Linked DNA regions of Danio rerio. The protein of the gene in region 1 binds, or shares a complex with, the protein of each later gene. Links are inferred from orthologs where the notes say so. Each region holds a gene or a part of one and is shown on either strand. Other genes may lie near its edges.

What was found. Proteins that work in one complex are often made in the same cells at the same time.
Region 2: coa1 (region 1) and tmem186 share a complex: the UniProt entries of both Homo sapiens proteins name them as parts of the mitochondrial complex. The link is inferred for Danio rerio from reciprocal best matches to the Homo sapiens genes COA1 and TMEM186.

The regions. Positions count from the first base shown.
Region 1 is NC_133177.1:53,227,626-53,231,844, forward strand, and holds the start of coa1 (cytochrome c oxidase assembly factor 1 homolog), read left to right. Parts: upstream 1-1,351; 5' UTR 1,352-1,425; intron 1,426-4,219. UniProt on the Homo sapiens protein: Component of the MITRAC (mitochondrial translation regulation assembly intermediate of cytochrome c oxidase complex) complex, that regulates cytochrome c oxidase assembly.
Region 2 is NC_133197.1:27,567,950-27,571,187, forward strand, and holds tmem186 (transmembrane protein 186), read left to right. Parts: upstream 1-1,540; 5' UTR 1,541-1,563; coding exon 1,564-1,572; intron 1,573-1,661; exon of another isoform or gene 1,662-1,737; intron 1,738-1,843; coding exon 1,844-2,521; 3' UTR 2,522-2,726; downstream 2,727-3,238. UniProt on the Homo sapiens protein: As part of the MCIA complex, required for efficient assembly of the mitochondrial complex I.

The DNA.
Region 1 (4,219 bases):
GGCAATAAATATTTATTTATACATTTAAAAATAATAATAATTTAATTATGCATTTAACAATTTGTTTATATATTTATTGTGTGTGTGTGTGTGTGTGTGTGTGTGTGTGTGTGTGTGTGTGTGTGTGTGTGTGTTTAAATAGATCGATTTTTACACCTGCATCCTGCTGAAAATAGAACATCACAAACTACTCCAAATACGTAAATACAATATAAATACACAAATATTTGTAATGTTTTGTAAATAGCAGCACATTATTTAATTTTAAGTAATTTGCCCTCTGATTGTATATTTATTTATTGATTGATTTATTATTAAAGGCATTCCGTTAAAAACAAAAAACGTGACAAACTTCTCAAAATAAATAAATATATAATGGATAAACAAATACTTTTCAACTATATTAGCTTGTTTTGCAACTAGCAGCACATAGAACAACAGGTTATTAAAATTTTAGTTATTAAATACTGCAATACTGCCAATGCATGACTGTTTCATACATTTTCCTTCGGTTTAGTCCCTTTATTCATCAGGAGTCGCCACAGCGGAATGAACCGCTAACTTATGCAGCATGTTTTACACAGCAGATGGTCTTCTAGCTGCAACCCAGTACTGAGAAACACCCATAGAATCATTCAAACAAATACACTACGGCCAATTTAACTTATTCAATTCAGCAATAACAGTTACACGCATGTGTTTGGACTGTGGGGGAAACCCACGCCAACACGGGGAGAACATGCAAACTCCACACAGAAATATTTGTTTATCCATTATGCAGTCGAACCAGCTACCTTCTTGGTGTGAGGCGACAGTGCAAAGCACTGAGCCACCGTGTTGCCCGTGTATGACTGTTGTCCATGGAAATAAATGACCGTGTTCGTGAAATCACCAAAGACGACACATTGAAGACGCGCATCTGCATCGCGCTCAGCGCTTACTAAAGCACGCGCAAATTACACAACCAATAACGCGCTCACTCTTCAACATGCAAACATGTAATACTGTGCTCACCTGTGAATGTCCCCTCACAGCCTTTGATGTGGTTTTCTTACGCAACGTCAGCGAAATGAGAACGATAATGACATTCATCAACTGTGACTCAGGAAACTACTTTCATAACTCTTTTTTCGTAACCGCGCGTGCGTCTGACGTCACGCGTCGCACGTGTTTCTGTTGTCAAAAATGCAGATCCCAAATAAACATGCGATCTTGCTAAATTAATAGTTGGTAACATTACAGAAGATTGTACTGTATCATTTACAATATGATAAATCGCTTGGGGATTTCGCACGTGTGGTGCTCTTTTTTTCTAAAGATTTGATTCATTGACGTTTGAATAAAGTTTTTCAAAGAGGAAAATGGCCGCGTCCATAATGCGCCGCTCGTAGCGTCTTTATAAAAACAATAATAATCCATGTGCGGGTGAGTAATTTTATCTTAGTCAAAAGCCATTAAAGCATGCATTAATCTGTTGAATTTCAAGGCTCAATTCTGTTGAAATTCAGGGGCATCCATTTAAAATAAAAATAATGTTTAAGACCATCGTATATCTGCTAAACACCTTTCACTAGCAAAAAAAAAATACCACAGTATTACATGAATATTAATACGGTAGTAACCATGGGTTTGTGGCGAATTCATTAAATATATACAGTATATAACCAGCTTTACCAGAAATACCATGGTGAAGCTATGGATATTGAATCAAATGCCAAATGCATTTTCAACGTATGTTTGCATGGTTTAAAATATATAAGTATTTCTGGTAAAGCTGGTTATACTGTATGTGTATATATATATATATATATATATATATATATATATATATATATATATATATATATATATATATATGTGTGTGTAACCAGCTTTACCAGAACTACCATGGTGAAGCTATGGATGCATTTCCAAGTTATGTTTGGAATATTTGTATCGTTTAAATATAACAGCCAGATATTTTATGTATTATAATTACTTATAGGAAGGCAAATTTTTTGTCAGGAACAGTTAAGATGATAGCCGATTTAACAATATTAACACTTTAGTAATAGCTTTTTTTGTATCTATGATCGTCTTTGACGTTATTTATTATTAAACAAATCTGAGCCCTATAGCTATAATGGCCATCGCTAATTTGTGTCAGAGACGTTATTATTACGTCTTTTAAACACATTTCTGAGTCCTATGACTGTAGTTTTCCAAGGTCATTATGGTATATACACACATCCACAAATCTGAATAACTAAGAAATAAACAAATATTATTAAGCGGGTGAAGAAAATAATTTCGAGGATGTTCAGGCTTTACCATCGGCCTGTTGTTGTTTATTTAAAACAGTAACACTAAACAGCAAAATGGAGTCAAATGCAAGAATTTATGCAAGAATCTAATTAGTTTTTTATTTCTGGATATTTATCAGGGTACCCGTAGGGTCTTAAAAAGTCTTAAATCTACTGAAATATTGTGTTGTTTTTTTAAGAGGTCTTAATTTTCCTTTGTTCATGTGTAGCTACCCAATCTGGCCATTAACACCAATACAGTCAACGACAATCCATCTCAATAAAACTTTTAAGCTTTTATTTAAAAATAGCATTTAATTACTTTCCTTACAGTAACATTTGCTTACACGATATTTACTGCTGTGGATACTGACCTGACCTATATATTTTATTTTATTATTATTATTATTATTGTTGACTGAAATAATTGACAGCTATGTTTTTTTCTATTCTTCATAAGGGTTATAGGGTTTGTAAATAGATATATTTGGAAGTTAATAAAGCGAAATTCTAACAAAATATTTTATTATTGTATTATTAAATGTCTTAAATTTTTATATTTTTTGTGAAAATCAAAGTGAAAATCTTTTCTAACTGGAATATTTAAAAAAAAAGTCCTGTATAAGTCTAATATTTAATTAATAATGGAACGTAGTTTAACTTGTGGACATTATTTCTGGACATTTTCGGATGTTTACACTGAAAACTGGTTCAGAAACTGCTTCAGGTTTATTAGTGTTATTCAGACACAAGTGAATTGCATACACTGATAAAAATGTTAAAAGCACGTGCTGTTTCAGCCCATTGTAGATATTTGCTAAAGACCTTTTACTAACCAAAATGTCTTTAAAACTCTTAAATTTAACTTTTCGGACATTATTTCAGGACATTTCTGGATATTTACACTAAAATATATTTAAGAAAAATGCTTCAGTTTTATTTAGTTTTATTCAGACACAAGTGAATGCATACATTCCTAATATTTTAAAGGCATATGCTGTTGAAAAAAGAAAAATCACTTTTTAGATTATTTTTACACTTTAGGGATTAATATACTACACAAACACAGACAGAGAGAACTGAAAAGAATAAGTGACCTCTTGTAAATTCTGATATTCTCTGTATTGATGATTTCTACTTATGTGTTTCAGTAAAACAGGATTAAATCGAGTGATGACATTTATTCCATTTAAAATGAAAACATTGCTATTTAGAGCATTTATTTTGCTTGAAATAACAAAAGGATGCCATGTTTCAGAATTTTTTTGGACAACACAGCATCAATGTTTTTACTTAAAATCAAGAAATCAATATTTGGTGGAACATTCCTGATTTTTATCTTAAGAAGAAATGCTCTAAATGACAATATTTCATTAAAATACTCCCATATAAAATTAGCAGAAAAAAGTCTTATCAGACTTTTATAAAAATGAAACACATATTAACATTTGACTGAAACATAACAAACAAACCCAAAACGTCCAGAGAAACTAAGAATTTCCAAGTGGTCTCTTCATATAGTTTTATATACATTACCTGACAAAAGTCTTGTTGTTGATCTCAGTTGTAAGAGCAGCAAGTAATAACTTGATTTCTAGTTGATCATTTTGAAAAAGTGGCAGAAGGTAGATTTTTCTGATGAATCATCTGTTGATCTGCATCTCAGTGATCACAAATACTGAGAGACCTATTGGAAGACACCAGATTCTCAGAGAAATTAGTCAAGTTTGGTGAAGGAAAAATCATGGTTTGGTGTTAAATTCAGTATGGGGGCATGCGAGAGATCTGCAGAGTGGATGGCAACATCAACAGCCTGAGCTATCAATAAATTTGTGCTGCCTATTACATTACAAACCACAGGAGAGGGCAAATTCTTTAGCAGAACAGCACTCCTTCTCATACTACAGCTTCCACATCAAACCAAAGAAGGTCAAGGT
Region 2 (3,238 bases), on another chromosome or scaffold:
AATGAGATAAAAACTAAAAATAGAATCATTATTACCGGTTTCAATTGCGGGAAATATTTATCATTTGATGTGTTTATTTAACTGAATTTTAGTCATGGCAACGGAAGTACTTTTATTTTGGAGTATGCTAGACTTTCTATCAAGTCCAGCTTCACATCGCTTAGGGTAGTTGTGCTCAAATTTAGATTTTAAAATTAATTTATCGGTATTTTTTTTTAACAAATTACTTTAAACATTGATGTTACCAGCGTGCGAATTATACATTGACGAACGAATGGGTCAACTTTTTTGATAGTAGTTTGGTAATACATTCTTCAGTGAATCAAATGTATTAATGTACTAAAATTACACCTCATTTATTATTAAAATGTATACGCTTTCAGTGTATTGATATTTAGTGATTTTTTAGAAGTTGCTGAAGGTCAAAATACAACTATTTTACAAGAAGTGTTTTGTGAAAACTTGAGATGTCTATCGGTGCCAGTTTCAGACTGTTGTTGAATGATATTTTTTCTTAGTATTGATTGGGGCGATTATATTTTCACACATGGTATGAACCATTATAAGGGTATATTTATTATGTTATAAATTTTTTATTTTCAATATTTAATTAAAGAGCTATTAAAGAGCTGACCCCCCCTATTCATCTTGTTTTAATGTCCTTCAGGGGGGACAAAGAAGTGTTAATGAGGGGTCAATCCCCCCACCCTCCAACCCCCCTGTAATTCGCACCCTTGATGTTACCCACGACACTTTTATGGTACTGAAACAATCAATTGTTTTTTAATGCTAAAATTTTTGCCAAAATTAGAAATAACGTGTCGAATAATAATATATAAATGCTTATTAATTGTTTTTATTTTCACTTTAATTAAATATTAATGACACCGAATAATTAATAACAAGGAAAATGTCATGCAAAATGAGAAATAAAATGCTTACTTTTTCACATCAAAGGAACAAATCAGTAAATAATAATAATAAAAAATAAATAAAATTACGGGATATATGTATATATAAATATATAAGGGATATATAAATTACAAAAAATTGCATAAGAAAAATTATTTCAGAATTGCACACATTCTTATAGCTTTTTTATTTGTTATGTCTTGTAGGGTTTCAATATGCATAAGATAAGTTTTAAACAAATAAATATTAGGCTTATCATTGGATCAGTTTTGTTTGTGTACATGGTACTTCCCATATATTATCATTAAATTAATAAACAAATTTTGCTCCAAGGTTTAGTTGTTATTATTGAATATCAAAAAATATTTTTACAAGAAAACTGAATTTTTAATTTAGTAAGTTTAAATATAAAATGTTCAACATCAAACCAAAATATTTGGGTATATGTGCATTCAACAAACAGGTGTTTTATCGATTCCTTCTCTAATTCACAAAAAGTGCACGTAGATTCCATGTCTCTAAAATATTTTTAACAACTTGTTTCAAAAACGATTTTGACAAGCGTTGATTTAAGGACTTTTATTTTGAAACGATACATAATATAACTCATGTCCAGCTTCACAGAAGAAGTGCGCGATGCACTGAACTTGTATGGACATGGTGAGTTCATTCAAAACTGAAATAATATTTAATAATAATGCGCGTTATTTAATTATGCTTATGTATTTTCTATGATTATCGCATATAAGAAGCTGGAACGCATAATCTGAGCCAACACAACAACTGCCTTTGTCAAGCACTGTTTTTATCAACATAATAAACAAGGTCAAATAGTCAATAGTCATGATGGTTACATTATCAAAATATTTTGTGTTGTTTTAATAATTAACATTAATAATAACTACTGTTGTGATGCTTACTGTCTCCTCAGATGATGATGTCAACAAGATTAATCCACCTTTCCCGTCATTTCCCTCAATATGGCTTTCGATGCCATCCTTCAGGACTTATTTCAAGTGCTCGCATGCAATACAACATCAACAACGGCCTGGCACACATGGGTAAACAGATGCCCAACACATCCACACACACCACGCGGATTCACCCGGCCTCATTCTCCTCTGACCTTGCCTCAAGAAAATACAGTCTAATCTATGCATTTCCACTAATCAGGGGCCTGCGGGCTCTTTCAAGACTCAAACTCTTACAGACGGGCATCACTGTTGTCCTGCTGCCCACTGTGTATTACCTCCACCTGCAGGGCCAGGCATCAGTGTTGGTCTTAAATCGCTCAATAGGCATTGCCTTGTTTGCTGGAGTCATGCTGTACTCCATAAGCCACTTTGTCAGAAGAGTGGTTGGCATGATGTATTTGGATTCAACACAGACCATATTAAAGGTGTCACATCTTAGCTTTTGGGGTCACAGAAGAGACATTTATGTACCCGTCTCAGATGTTGTGACTCTGGGAGATTCAGGAGACTCCAGGGGAGAATCAATTCTTCGGTTAAAGCGCTACAGCACTTCTAATACCATGTACTTTTCTACCAGACTGGGACGAGTGGTGGATAGACACGCATTTGGGAAGGTTTTTGGGAGTTTGTCATGAATTTGTGTAGTTTTGTATGTCATGTCATATGAAACTTTCCCAAAGTGAGAAATTAAAGATCTTATGGTAAAGTTAAGTATATGTAGCTTTTGTTTTGTGCATTTTATTAATAATTAGTGATGTAACAGATCACAAATCTTACGGTTTGGATCATATAATGTTTTTTTTAGTCACAGATCGGACTAGCCAAAAAGGGGAGGAGACAAATGTCATTTCTTTTCCATTTTATTACAAAAACTGCACTGCAAGAAACATTTGGTTTCAAAAAAACAAAAGTAAGAACCCTTATATTTATAAAAAAAAAAAATGAAGAAATAATTAGCTAAATATAAATAAATGGTAAAATATTCAGTACTGTGGAAAGATTCACAATTTCTGCTACTGTTGCTGATGACACTAAATGTAGAAATCTAACATTATAATTTGTACAACCCATATTTATTTTTAGTCTCGTTTTCAATAAATGCTTGTTATTTACTCATAAAACTTCATGTTTCATTGCTAGATGGATCATTTTTTATTATTATTCAGTGGCATATTTTTGATGGCTGGTTGAATTCAACCTATTGGTTAAATAATGTAATTACTGCTTACAACCTTTATTTTTGAGCGTCAAGTTAAATGTATATGACGTTAATTTTAATTTTTACCATAAACATCAGTGGTTTATTCTAAACTATAAACTGTTATCCCAGTACTTCTGTGTTATTTGATTGA